Arabidopsis thaliana: one gene and its partners. The protein of the gene in region 1 interacts with the protein of each later gene in a pairwise test. Each region holds a gene or a part of one and is shown in the gene's direction. Other genes may lie near its edges.

Region 1 (3,674 bases):
ATTGAAACTGTATTATAGGGATTATGTCGAAAGAGCAGAAGATTTATGATATATGTTCATTCAAAAGGGATGGTTGTTGATGATGAGTATGTGGTAATTGGATCTGCAAACATAAACCAAAGATCAATGGAGGGGACAAGAGATACAGAGATTGCAATGGGAGCTTACCAGCCTCAACATACATGGGCACGACGACAGTCAGGTCCTCGGGGTCAGGTAATAGCACACAAAGATAGTACACACATGGTTTCATAGTCCTAGTCGTATCAATAATACTTGGTACATAATCTGCAGATCTACGGATATAGAATGTCGCTTTGGGCAGAACACATGGCACTGCTAGATGATTGCTTTGTGGAGCCAGAGAGTCTAGGGTGTGTAAGGAAAGTGAGAACAGTGGCGGAGGAGAACTGGGAACAGTTTAGGAGTGAGGAAGTGTCGGAGATGAGAGGACATCTGATGAAATATCCGGTGGAAGTTGATCGGAAAGGCAAAGTCCGACCACTTCCAGGAAGTGAGGAGTTCCCTGATGTCGGAGGAAACGTTGTTGGATCCTTTCTAGCCATACAGGAGAATCTCACTATCTAATCATAAGCAGAGTCGCATTTATTAAGAAGACCTTATATGTGTAAACAAACAACAATTGATCAGACTTTGTAAATAAACAAAGTTTGATGTTTCTCCTCAAGTTTGAATAACAAGTAAAAAGAAGCTACTTAATCCTAATTCTATTTAGAATAAGAAATCATGTACATGAAAAAGCTTTGGCCTGGCTATAAAATCCGAAATCCGAAAACCGATCCGGAACCGAACTTGAACCGAATAGTTACAAAATCCGAATGGATAATGAATTCTCCTATCCGAATTACTCGAACCGAATCCGATCCGAACCGAAATCCGAGAGGATATCCGAAAACTGAAAAATATATATATCCAAAAATATTATTTATATTTAGTTGTAATTTTATAATAAATAACAAAATATCCTAAATAATAAAGAAATTGGAAATCTTTTAGTTACATTTGTTAATAGTATACATACTTTTGCAAAATTTAACCAAATTTTAGTAAAGATTAAACCAATTTTTATTTAAGTTGAACAATTTTTAGCTCTTTAAAAACCGGTCCGAATCCGACACTTATCCGAACAAAAACCAAACCAAAGATTAGTAAAATCCGAACGGATAATAAATTTTCTATCCAAATTATCCGAATCCGAAAATATCCGATCCGAATTCGATCCGAAAATTCATAAAATCCGTACGGATAATAAGTTCTCCTATCCTAATGATCCGAATCCGAATATATCCGATTCGAAATCCGAATGTCCAAGCCTAGCCTGGCTACTAAACTTTGTCTATATTTAACGGCAAAGATCTCTAGCAGTAGTAGTATCATTCAAAAAATGAGAAGACTGTTACAGAGACTAAAGAGAGTGTGTACCATGCGTATCAGATTCAAACTAATAATGTTAGCAACCCCTGAAGAAGATAAGACTATATGCTTATTGTAGCCTTTATTCTCTGTTGAATCCTAGCAATGAACATTATAGGCAGAGCAAAACGACTAATATGAAATGGAGAACACTAGACAAGACCAACCGATGATACTTAGTCTAAAGTCAATACCTTGTCCCTATCAAGCCCACCAAAACTCTTAGCAGACAACATTCGAACAACCTTAATTTGTTGTTGGGCTTTGTTTAATTAGATTGTTTGTTAAATATAAAAGAGAGTGAAGAATGTTCAGCGTTAAAGGAAAAAAAGTCTCGCCGCTCACTAACCCTAAAAAAAGTAACTCTCTCACTCACTCTTCTTCATCATACCGAAAAAAATCCAATGGCTTCTTTGGAAAATCCAGCAATCGATTCTTCAAGCGAATTTGAGAGTTCTTCTGAAGAGATCTCTTCTTCTAAAGAAAGCAAACCCAAAGAAGCTCCCGTCACTGTTCCGTCAACAAAAACCCTAAACTCTCCTTCCGCCGCCGTGGCAGTTTCTGATGACTCAGAGTCAGAGAAGCAGTCATTCGTCTTAACCAGGCGGAAGAAGAAAGAAGGTGCTGCTGAATCACCGGCAGTGAAGTCAGGGAAGAAAGAAGGTGCTGCTGAATCACCGGCAGTGAAGTCAGGGAATAACGAAGGTGCTACTGAATCACCGGCGGTGAAGTCAGGGAAGAAGCGAGCTAGCGAAGGAACCACGTCAAGGGACATGCATGTCAAAAGAATTAAGAAAGAGGGCGATAACAAAAAGGGGCATGCTCAGAGAGTATGGAGTGAAGAAGACGAGATCTCTCTCCTGCAAGCAATGATCGATTTCAAAGCTGAGACAGGTACAAGTCCTTGGGATCATAAGGATAGGTTTTTTGATATCGCCAAGAAATCTATAAGCTTTGATGTTAGTAAAGTCCAGTTCTTTGACAAGATTAGAAGCTTTAAGAGAAAGTATTTTGGTGACCGGAAGGTGAGAAGTGTTGAATCGGATCATGATAAGAAGTGTTTGGGTTTGGCTGTTTCTTTTTGGGGATCTGATGGTGTGAGCCTTGAAACTCCTGTGAAGAAGAAAGTGAAAGATGAATCTGTTCTTGTTAAGGCTAATAGCAAGGAGAAGAACGTGAAACCTTTGGTTAAAGAAGATGAGCAAGTCGTGATTCTTGGAGAAGATTCGGAGTGGTTTGAGGAGTCTTTTCTTGTTCCGGTTATCGCTAGTCTCGGTTTGGATGAGTATTCTGTGAAGAAGAAGTGGAGCAAGGTGTCCGTGGAGACTAAGAAGAGGATTCAAGAGAAGATGAAGCTTGTGGATGCTAAGAAATGTGAGTTGTTGTTGGCGAACATGGATGTTTTGAAGGAGGTGACTTCAGTGCTTACTCAAACCAACTAAGAAGAAGAAGAGGAAGCTATTGGATTGTATATGTTTATCCGTTTAATCTCGGGTTTAATGAAGATGTAATGCCTTATTTTGTTATCTATCTTAGGCTTCATCTTTCTATCTACTCTAATGAACTTTTAGGACTTTGGATTCTCGTGTGAGAATTAGCTTTGTCTAACAAGCCTTTTGGTCGATGGTTGTAATGAATTAGCTAAGTTGTCTAACTAGCCTTTTGGTCTATGGTTATAATGAACTTTTAAGACTTTGTAAATGTGCTTCTTATATGAATGTCTCTCTACTCGTAACCAGAGTTATTACAAAACAAAGAAACACACAACAGAATGTGGGAGATTGTTAGCTATCATACCAATTGAATTTTTACATGTTGTGGTTACTACTAACTACTGTCCCAATTTCATATCACTTGTTGAGCTCTTGCTCTGCTTACACTCTCCTTTAGCTCAGCAACTACATGACTCATCCTCGGTCTATTCTTAGAACTAGAAGATGCACAAGCCATTGCTACTTCAGTGATCTTCCATGCCGAACCAGCATCAAACCTCTCCCCTAGCTTTGGATCCACAATGCCTCTGATATCTCCTGTCGACAGCATTAAAGTCGACTCAGTTATGTGTATGTTCTCTGCTGTTGTTCTTGAACGTGCAATCACCGGTTGGCCTGTGACAACCTCTAAAAGAACAACCCCGAAGCTCTAAACATCACTTTTCTCGCTTAATTCTTGCGGTCAAATGGTACCTTCATTTTGTAAAACAATGTCTACAGCAGCAAAAGACCAGTGACCAAAACAAA
Region 2 (4,345 bases), on another chromosome or scaffold:
AATTGAAGATTTACTCGCCAGACTGGATTTTGTTTTACTCTTGGTGCTTGAAGTGTTTTTAGAGAAGCTTTCAGATCCTAAGCTCCTCTGAGAATTCTCTGTCATATCAGACAAAAAACCATGTAGCAATATATAAACAGGATGAAAAGTAACAGAACTAAAAAGGATATGAGATGAATAGTTTTTATTTGCTAACTGAAGTGAACATACTTAATTGAGTAGGTTGACTGTTTTTCGCTTTGATTGGACTTTGAGTAGTCCTTTTCATGTTGTTTCCAACTGTAACTGGGTCAGATTTGGTAGTAGGAACTTTAGATATGCTCAGCTCCCTGCAACGTGATGTTGTTGTATGCACATTTGCAGGTCTTTTCAGGGTGCAAGATGGTTAAGGTAAACAAGCAAAAAGAACACAAACAAGACCTGCAAAGGATATCAAGATTGCCTATACACTCAGTACTCAAAGTAAGAAAAGGATATGAAGATGAAGGAGGAGGCCGGGGACAGCCACTGCGCTTGGAACCACTCCTTAAATCCTGAGCTGAGATAACTTTTTTCTGGGCCTATAATGCAGATATTCGACATTTAGATAGACTGCGCCTCAAAATATATATATTTACGCAAGGAAAGAAACGACTTATGACCCTCATTAGCTCCACAATATTTAGGTCCAGTAAACTCACCGAGGAAGATTGGGATTTAGATGGTGATCCGTACTTGGGCATTATGCCACTGACAAGCTTCTTCTCTCTGTTTTTACTATTCACAGGCAAGTCGTTAAATAAGTTTTCTTCAAGTGCTTGTAGTCCTGGTGAAACATTACATTTGGAAGCTGACATTGACTCTCTGTACTCTTCCTGAATGGCAGCTAACCGATCTCCACCAAGATGGCAAGCAGTTCCAGTTATTTTAGATAACTCAGATGAATCCAAAACACCTGGTTCATGACCATATCACACATCTTAAGATTCTTAGTAACATAGACCAAATCTTTGACCTTTACTACTAACAGGAAATTGGTAAAAAAAAGTCACCTTCTTCCGTTGAAAAAGCTCTATCCCATGCTAAACTCTTGCGCAAATTAAACCCTGCATTCTTTTTCTTCTTCTTCATCTGTTGTCGCTCCACACTCAATTTGGGCAATTCAACTTTAGCATTCTCCTTTCCTACACTATCTGTATCAACTGAAGCGCATGGCTGCTCCCTGTTGTTGCTGGTGCCTGTTACTCTTCCTGCAAAAAGTATTAACCTTCATATATCCGCAGAATACACAACATTTATACTAATTTGCTATTTTATCAAATTAAGATTTAAACAATGCTAATTCAGATGCTTAAACACTCTAACAAAGGGAGAGAGAAATTATCAGAACGAAGCTCGGATCGAGAACGAGAAATTGAAGCGCTTACCAATTGGGGAAAAAGGAGGCCGAGTAGGAACGATACGACTAGATCTAGGGATTTGGAGAGGTGAGCATTTCAAATAACTCTTTCCTCGGCTCGAATTAGTTTTCTTCGGCGTATTCTTCAGAAGCCAATTATCTTCGTCGTCTTCTCCAGAGATATCTAAGAGATCCTTATCCATTTCTAGCTTCTCTTTCGAGCCCAAGATCTGACGATTAGGAAATCCGGAATCCTATAGCTAGGTTTTTTCAAACTTACACTGAGAAAATCTCTTCGGAAGTTGTAGGCGAAAATCCTAGTCGGTAAATCGGAAATTGTTCGGCCGATGGAAGAGACGACTGTTGATAGAATATCCCGGCCTCGTAAGCGGGAAGAGGTTGAAAAACTTGAAATTGAAAGAAGATCGGACCAACGTTCTCTATAATCTCAGGTTATTATTGTCATTTAAAGCAAATCGATTGGGCCGGACTTTAAAGCCCATTTATTTGAATTTTAAATTCTCGTTCACCCTTTATTGGTTTGGTTTGGTTAGGATAATATTTTTTCGGTTTGATTAAAATCATATCGGTTCGGTTCATGGAGCATTGAAGTAAAAGTAGTTAGCACATGTTTTATTTTTCCATTTGTAGCAATAAGCCTAGAAGACAATACAGTCTCTGTGTTATGCTACAAAAGGCAAAATCTCTAAAGCAAACCAAAAGATCGGAGATCTATTAACAAAGCTCTTTTACTTTTCTATTTTCAAGAACCATTTTCACCTTCACTTTCACTAAAAGAGTTAGGGTTTCAAAGAGGTGAAGATGATGAACAGAGGTTTCTTCTTTAGACTCTTGTTTTTATGTTAAGATCTTTATGCTATTGTTTGTTCTTGATTCTCCAATCACATAACCTATCCTATGTTCTGATTTTTTTCTTGCTTTGGAACAGGAATTTCTGTGGATGATTGTCTTCCAAAGTTCTTCAAAGTGTACTTACCTGATGATTCCGGAGATGATTTGGTAAAAATACACTTCTCTCTCTGTTTTTGGTTATATGTAGATTTTTAGTTTATTGAAACTTTTAGATCCTTCCTCTTCAGGAATTACCCATCTCTTTCAACAGCTTTTTACCAAAGTCGTTGCCTAAAAATGTAATTGTTAGAAGCATTTATGGAAACATCTGGAAAGTGGCGTTTAGGAAGTTTTGTGGTGATAGTGAGAGATTTGTTATGGTTAATGGGTGGAAGAAGATAGTCAAGGACGAAGATTTGAAAGGTGGAGAGTTCTTAGAATTTGAGTTTGATGGCTCTTGGTGTTTCAATTTCTGTATCTATGGTCGTGCAACGTGTAAAAGGCTTAGAAGTTCAGTGCAAATCACGGTTCTTGATGACAATGATGATGGTTTTAATGATGATCAAGATTATGGGGAAGAAGTTAAATCTAGTGAAAATTTCATAGTTCTTGATGATGATGATATTAGTGATGTTCAAGATTATAATGAGGAAGATACATCTAGTGAAGATATTACAGCTCTTGATGATGCTGATAATGATGATATTAATGATGTTCAAGATTATGTTGAGGAAGATACATCTAGTGAAGATATCATAGTTATTGATGATGATGATGATGATGATGATCAAGATTATGGTGACGATGATCATGCTGATGTTGAGAAAGAAAGATGGAGAGGAGTCAAAACAGAGAAAAAAAAGAAAGGTATAATAGAAACTTTTGTCTTGTGAAGTTAACTGAGACTGAGAGCATCACTGTCTTTTTATTTTCTTGCGTATAAATTTTGATAGGTTCTTCTGGAGAGCATGACAGACAATATCTGGATAATCACATGAACCCTTTCTTTACAGTGAACCAGCATCGGCAAATAAAATATAATATGGTAAGAAATGTGAAGAAAGTCTCATGTCTTTTTGCATTTTCATTAAAATAATGTACCACTTCTGTTTTATGATGTTATCTTTGTAATGCAGCTGCGCATACCAACTAAGGTCATAACGAAGTATGGCTTACACTTCCCTGAGTTCATCAATTTGATTGATCCACTCGAGAAAAACTTTGGTAAATTGAAGAGGAAAGTTAAGGGTCAAACAATCAAGGGATTCCGTAGTATAATCAGAAGGAATAATGTGAAGTTGAATGACAAGGTGATTTGTGAGTTAGAAAAGGAGATGGATGGTCTTGTTCGAGAAATCAAGGTCCATGTTATAAGAGGATGATCTCTTGATAAGGCTTTATGCGTTAACTCCAAGACATTATCTATTTTTACTTGAGAGTTTTTATATGAGTAGAGTACTTGGTTTTATGAATCTTATTGGTTTTCTCGGAACATAATCGATGTTGATGCTTTCTATACACTTCTTGATTTTGTTTGTTTGTCTGAAACATGAAGTGCAAAAGACGATCAACACAGTCTTACAATAATAATGTATACTAGAGCTATAGATTTTGGGAGAAATCATTATGAATGGTTCACACATCAGGGCTGTTTAAAACCTGCGAGTTCATGTAAAAAGAATGTTATTACTCTCTATGTGATCATAAGAAAAGCATTGGCATAGGAGGAGAATAATACTAAGATACTTGGAACTCTGCCACTTAACACTATCTCATTCTTCTTTCAAGTTTCAAGTTTCTTGTTCAAGAATTGAGATGTCACAAGTCCTTCTTTCTCTAATATACCCTTCTCGACTCTTTACTGTGGTTCTTTTGTTTAAGGACGATAATGTCATTTACACGATATAGATTGAACCAAACTTAAGGCCCATTTCTTGTTTTTTGTTTGGGCCTTAGCGATACCTTGGTCCGCTTAACGAATTATTTTTGAATAAGAAGAGTACTATTAATGGTTTGTTTTCCATTTGAAGGAAAAAGCATCGAAACAGAGAGAACCCTCTGTTTTTGCAAGTTTTTGCTACAAAAGGCCAACACCTTTAGATCAAATCACATCTG
Region 3 (6,015 bases), on another chromosome or scaffold:
ACGTTGGTGGTTCAGTTTATTCATGTGTATGGGTCAGAGGTTAAGGATTCGAGTGGGTTAGATTTGGAGTTTGTGAAGAGAACGTTTATGGATGAAGCTGAGAGTGGTGGGTTGTTGTTAGGTGAACAGAAGTTGAGTTTTAAGAGTTATAGTGTGAATTATAGAGAATGTTCGATTTGTTCGTTTGCGGTATCTCGTGGGATGAATTCGTATACTTCTAGGTTTTTGTTTGATAACTATACTTTGATTGTGAGTGAGTATTTGGATTCTAAGCATATGCATCGGGCGTTGACTGATTCGGCTGAGGAGTTGAGGAGAGTTGCGGGGATTGTTGAAGAAGAAGGAAATGAGTTTGCTAGGGTTTTACCTGTTTATGTGTTTGATTTGGATATCAATACGCCTTTGTTGCTTGATCGGTATCATCAGTCTGTTGCTTTTAGAGATATGGTGATTGCTGTTAGAACTAGAGGAACTCAAACGGTTAGTGATTATACTTGCAACGGGCGTCATGTGTTTGTTCATACGAGAGACTTAGAACGACCTCTCGTTGGTTCCATTCTGCAGAGTATGTGGGGTGTATCTTCTACTCATTTGACATGGAGCCCGAGACATAACACAACTCTAGTTGATTATACATGGAGCATTGGGCAAACACCGTTTGGACCATTCTCTGATATCTCGTCTCTATCGTTTGTTCAGAAAGATGCTGCTAAGAGAAACGTGATTTTGACATCTTTGAACACAACTATCACAAGTGCAATCGATGTTATCGATTCCGCGGTTGCATATGGAGGAGATGTGATCCTACGGAAACAGAATCGCCACTCTGAGTTCATGCAAAGGTGGAATCTTATGCAGTACAAGCTGGATAAAACGGTTTCTGCTCTATCACACAATGAGTTCGAGATGGCTTTGTTCTACTTAAGATCAGCTTCACACGACTTGTACTCAGTGCATTCAGTAGTGTACCTCGCGTCACAACGGGTAGAAGCGAGTCTCAACTGTTTCAAAGATCCACCGTTCCCATGGGGAACTGTTTCAGTGTCGGGATTCGGGTTAATGGCTGTTGGTTACGTGTTCTCGAAAAGAGATAGACTCTTTAGGAACAAACGAAAACAGTTCTGAAGAATTCTAGCAATGCAGGGTAATTTATAGTCATTACATTGGATAAAAAGACTTTGATAGTTTGGTTTTTGAGGTTAATACAACATGTACTACTATTATGAGCTTGTTTCCATTTGGTAATGTTGAACAATAGAGACAATGCTCGGATCCTCTGTTTGGTTGTCTATTTATTTTGAATAGCTCCATCACATTCCTATTGTCTCCTTCAATAATCACTTCTCCATACCCTTAGACCGGTTTTCCCCTCCTAACCAAAGCCAAACAAAACCGAAGTAACCGGTTTGGTAAACCGAACCCGCATGCCTACATAATTGATATAAAATTCTGTTTTATAAGAGGTTTCTTTTCCAAATGTGAAAAAATCCAAAACTCAAAACAACCTTCTGTTTTTACCGTTTTTTGATAAAGGTCTTTTTCCCAAATCTGCAAAACCAAAAACTCAAAAATTCAATTAAACCGGAAAATCTAATTTTCGAAAATTGGTTTTCTTCCCAAAATTAAACCGCCTGAGTGTCTATGTATAAAAGTTGATATCATAGTTTGGAAAAAAAAAAATCACTCTCTCTCTTTCGCTCTCGCTTTCTCGTCTCTCTCGTGTCTCTCAACAGAAAACCATGGCGGACGGCCACTCCTTCAATAATATCTCTCTCAGCGGTCGCGGTGGAAAGGTACCATCTTCTCTCTCTGTCTCCTTCTATCTCTCAAGATCTTTCAATTCCTTCAAAGTTTTCACCTTTTCCTCTTCCTTCGAAAACCCTAATCTCCTTTCTCTGTATCCCCTTTTGCTTCCGCCGCTCGATTCTTAAAGAACTCAATGAGTCAAATTTAGGGTTAAAAAAAAGATTGTCGCTTTCATTTTTCAGTTGTGTTGTTTTCTTGTTTACAATTGTTAAAGCTGCGGTAGTTTTTAGGGTTTTCTTAAGGCTAATTAGGGTTTCAATTTTGGTTTTTTAGAACCCGGGTTTACTTAAAATCAATTCTGGAGGAATTCAATGGAAGAAACAAGGTGGTGGAAAAGCTGTGGAAGTTGATAGATCTGATATTGTAAGTGTTAGTTGGACGAAAGTGACAAAGAGTAATCAATTGGGAGTCAAAACCAAAGATGGATTGTACTACAAGTTCGTTGGATTTCGAGATCAGGTTTGTGTGTGTATATCTTTTTTATTTGATTTGATATTGTAATGTTTGTGCTTGTTCTGATTCCTTTGTTTTGTAGGATGTTCCAAGTCTGTCTAGCTTTTTCCAAAGTTCTTATGGAAAAACACCGGATGAGAAGCAATTATCAGTTAGTGGTCGTAATTGGGGAGAGGTGGATTTACACGGTGAGAGTTCTTATAGCTTTTAGGCTTTACTTGTGGTTGTCTAGTTTCATTTGTGGATCTAAAGGGAGAATTTTTTGTTTCTTTGTGTAGGGAATACACTAACCTTTTTGGTTGGATCAAAACAAGCTTTTGAAGTATCTTTAGCTGATGTTTCACAGACTCAGCTTCAAGGGAAAAATGATGTTACTTTGGAGTTTCATGTTGATGATACTGCTGGTGCTAATGAGGTACTGGTTTCTTTTGATATGTAATCTCTAGGCTGTTATGTATGTACATTTACTGATTTATATTCTACGTGTTTACAGAAAGACTCGCTGATGGAGATTAGTTTTCATATTCCTAATTCCAACACTCAGTTTGTTGGTGATGAAAACCGTCCACCTTCTCAAGTGAGTTCCCAAACTATTTTCATTATATGTATGTGCCTCAAGTATATATTTTTTTCTGTTGATGCTAAAAGAATGTCTCAGGTTTTCAATGACACAATCGTTGCAATGGCTGATGTTAGTCCTGGAGTTGAGGATGCGGTCGTCACATTTGAGAGTATTGCAATCCTCACACCCAGGTAAAGAGTTGATTACTTAAACATTTGTTGCACTATTGTATGGCTTCATCTTGTCATGACTAAATGATTTGGTTGTTTCTATCACAGGGGTCGGTACAATGTGGAACTTCACCTTTCTTTCTTACGATTGCAAGGACAAGCTAATGACTTTAAAATCCAGTACAGTAGCGTTGTCCGTTTGTTCTTGCTTCCAAAGGTAATTCTTTTTTAAGCATATCTCAGGGCAGTTACCTATGTTAGCAGTCATCAGATTAAAGGGATTATCGTATTATGATCACTGAATCGTGTTCACATTAATTGAGTTCGTATTTTTTTTTATATGCCTGAGCAGTCAAACCAACCACACACGTTTGTTGTTATCTCTCTAGACCCACCAATCCGGAAAGGTCAGACAATGTACCCCCACATTGTTATGCAGGTAAACATTACTTACATTTTTCCTTCCATTTCAATTTTCTATGTATAATTTTCGTTTTTTTACTCTGATTTACATAACTGTTTTTGCATCTTCTCCAGTTTGAAACAGACACCGTTGTCGAAAGTGAACTGTCAATTAGTGATGAACTTATGAATACAAAGTTCAAGGACAAGCTGGAGCGATCATATAAGGTTTCTGTCTGGTCTGCACTTACATTATTGTTCCTGAATAAAAAAATTTATACATACGCTGAATTGTATGAATTTTCAGGGTCTCATTCATGAAGTATTCACCACCGTGTTGCGTTGGCTGTCTGGTGCAAAGATCACTAAACCTGGGAAGTTCCGCAGTTCCCAAGATGGGTTTGCAGTGAAATCGTCTCTCAAGGCAGAAGATGGGGTTCTTTATCCACTCGAGAAGGGATTTTTCTTCTTACCTAAACCTCCAACGCTTATACTTCACGATGAGGTAAATTATGGTTATTAAGGATTGGAGATTTTTTATAGGCTTTGAGATAGAGTTGGGTTTTCTAACCTGTTTTTTTTTCGTTTTTAGATTGACTATGTCGAGTTTGAAAGGCATGCTGCTGGTGGTGCTAACATGCATTACTTTGATCTTCTCATAAGACTGAAAACTGACCATGAACATCTGTTCCGTAACATTCAAAGAAATGAGTATCACAATCTCTATACCTTCATAAGGTTAGCGCGGATTATTTCATTGTCTCCGTCTATATTTACTGAGTGCATTTAAGATTTGTGGTGAATATTCCTTATGTTTTCTTGCTGCAGCTCTAAGGGTTTGAAGATTATGAACCTTGGAGGTGCGGGTACCGCAGACGGTGTTGCTGCTGTTCTTGGGGATAATGATGATGATGATGCTGTTGACCCTCATCTTACGCGTATCAGAAACCAAGCTGCTGATGAGAGTGATGAGGAGGCAAGTACTTTATGTCTGACCGAATTACTTCATATTCTAATGATCATGTGTTTGATAATCGAGACTTTTAATTTATGAAGGACGAAGACTTTGTTATGGGTGAGGATGATGATGGTGGTTCACCAACTGATGATTCTGGCGGGGACGACTCTGATGCTAGTGAAGGCGGTGTAGGAGAGATAAAAGAGGTAAACTTTTGTCGCATTCATTCGAACTCTTTCAGCAGCAGTATTTGTTTCTCATATCTTCCTGTCATTGACTTGTTATAGAAATCTATCAAGAAGGAACCTAAGAAAGAGGCTTCGTCATCGAAAGGATTGCCTCCTAAGAGGAAAACTGTAGCCGCAGACGAAGGCAGTAGTAAGAGGAAGAAGCCGAAGAAGAAGAAGGATCCCAACGCACCAAAAAGAGCAATGTCTGGTTTCATGTTCTTTTCCCAAATGGAAAGAGATGTGAGTTCTTCTCTCCTTTCTTTTACTTTTACCTCTATGATGTAGGCTAAGTTGCGAAATGGAGTATCCTCGGTCTATTACATACATGAGAGCAAACAATTAACAGACAAACTTAGCACATTCCTGATTATGTCATTTTCCATTTGTGAACTGAACAGAACATAAAGAAGGAACACCCAGGAATAGCATTTGGAGAGGTGGGAAAGGTGCTTGGAGATAAGTGGCGTCAAATGTCTGGTAAAAAATTTGAAGATCCTTTTCAAAAGTAAATACATTACTTGGTTTTACTTTATCATGTGAATGTGTTTTAATTCCCCAACCGTGTGTATGTATAGCTGATGATAAAGAGCCATATGAAGCCAAGGCTCAAGTCGACAAGCAGCGATACAAGGATGAGATCAGTGATTACAAGAACCCTCAGCCGATGAATGTGGACTCAGGAAACGATTCCGATAGTAACTAAACTTTGATTCTCCAACATTCTCTACTAGTATCTCATTTACCTACAATACTAAGTTATGGCATGTAGTAAACGTTGGACCTTTAGTTGTTTGGAGTTAACCAGATTTTTCTCTTTGACCTTAAAGATCTTGTGTTACTTCCTAGAAAAGAAGAGCCTGTCTTTACCTCAAAATATAGAGTACTCTGGTAAGGCCATAGCTAAGAAGCAACAAAACAGATCGTGTTTCTATCGAAATTGTTATACAAGAGGTTCTGTATGATGAAAGTTATGGACAAGAAGCATCTAAAACCTTATGGACAATGGGACGAGCTTTACACATAGCTTGCAACGATGTAGCTTTTCGCATTGTGGTTCCTTTTTCACTTTCTCTCATGTCTAGATACTTTTCTTCAACCCTCTCCCACTCAAAACATTGGACCAATGATCCAAGAGCCAAAGTCACTAGCCGTTGAGCTAGCCCTGAACCAGGGCAAGATCGTCGTCCAATCCCAAATGGCATCAACTTTTTATCCTCTCCTTTTTTCTCAAACCTCTCCGGCTTAAATTTTTCTGGCTCTTCCCATAACTTTGGATCTCTATGGATGGCCCATGCATTCACCAAGATGATTGTGCCGCGTGGAACGTCATAGCCATCAACTATACAATCTTCTGATGCTAAGTGGGGTAAAAGCATTGGAGCCACCGGATAAAGCCGTAAAGTCTCTGACACAATGTGCTGAAGGTAAGGAAGT

What was found. Proteins that work in one complex are often made in the same cells at the same time.
Region 2: the proteins of AT4G00238 (region 1) and AT5G60142 interact in binary tests that used the Arabidopsis thaliana proteins (3 or more experiments, as listed by UniProt).
Region 3: the proteins of AT4G00238 (region 1) and HMG interact in binary tests that used the Arabidopsis thaliana proteins (3 or more experiments, as listed by UniProt).

Annotation. Positions count from the first base shown.
Region 1 is NC_003075.7:103,294-106,967, reverse strand, and holds AT4G00238 (DNA-binding storekeeper protein-related transcriptional regulator), read left to right. Parts: upstream 1-1,746; 5' UTR 1,747-1,838; coding exon 1,839-2,876; 3' UTR 2,877-3,145; downstream 3,146-3,674. Other genes in the region: PLDBETA2 (phospholipase D beta 2), read left to right, coding at 19-216, 295-588. UniProt on the Arabidopsis thaliana protein: Transcription repressor that binds DNA in a sequence-specific manner, 5'-GCCT-3', to regulate the expression of PGR. Acts as a modulatory component for the glucose-triggered developmental leaf growth process.
Region 2 is NC_003076.8:24,215,447-24,219,791, reverse strand, and holds AT5G60142 (AP2/B3-like transcriptional factor family protein), read left to right. Parts: upstream 1-2,042; 5' UTR 2,043-2,200; coding exon 2,201-2,213; intron 2,214-2,327; coding exon 2,328-2,398; intron 2,399-2,439; exon of another isoform or gene 2,440-2,478; coding exon 2,479-3,097; coding exon of another isoform or gene 3,098-3,123; exon of another isoform or gene 3,124-3,183; coding exon 3,184-3,275; intron 3,276-3,366; coding exon 3,367-3,612; 3' UTR 3,613-3,845; downstream 3,846-4,345. Other genes in the region: AT5G60150 (uncharacterized protein), read right to left, coding at 1-98, 211-374, 478-560, 681-934, 1,032-1,229, 1,407-1,581.
Region 3 is NC_003074.8:10,783,215-10,789,229, forward strand, and holds HMG (high mobility group), read left to right. Parts: upstream 1-1,673; 5' UTR 1,674-1,739; coding exon 1,740-1,793; intron 1,794-2,079; coding exon 2,080-2,265; intron 2,266-2,341; coding exon 2,342-2,447; intron 2,448-2,537; coding exon 2,538-2,674; intron 2,675-2,752; coding exon 2,753-2,836; intron 2,837-2,917; coding exon 2,918-3,012; intron 3,013-3,099; coding exon 3,100-3,208; intron 3,209-3,343; coding exon 3,344-3,430; intron 3,431-3,528; coding exon 3,529-3,621; intron 3,622-3,700; coding exon 3,701-3,898; intron 3,899-3,985; coding exon 3,986-4,131; intron 4,132-4,221; coding exon 4,222-4,369; intron 4,370-4,449; coding exon 4,450-4,557; intron 4,558-4,638; coding exon 4,639-4,821; intron 4,822-4,979; coding exon 4,980-5,058; intron 5,059-5,156; coding exon 5,157-5,284; 3' UTR 5,285-5,515; downstream 5,516-6,015. Other genes in the region: AT3G28720 (uncharacterized protein), read left to right, coding at 1-1,125; CYP81D11 (Cytochrome P450 superfamily protein), read right to left, coding at 5,550-6,015. UniProt on the Arabidopsis thaliana protein: Component of the FACT complex, a general chromatin factor that acts to reorganize nucleosomes. The FACT complex is involved in multiple processes that require DNA as a template such as mRNA elongation, DNA replication and DNA repair.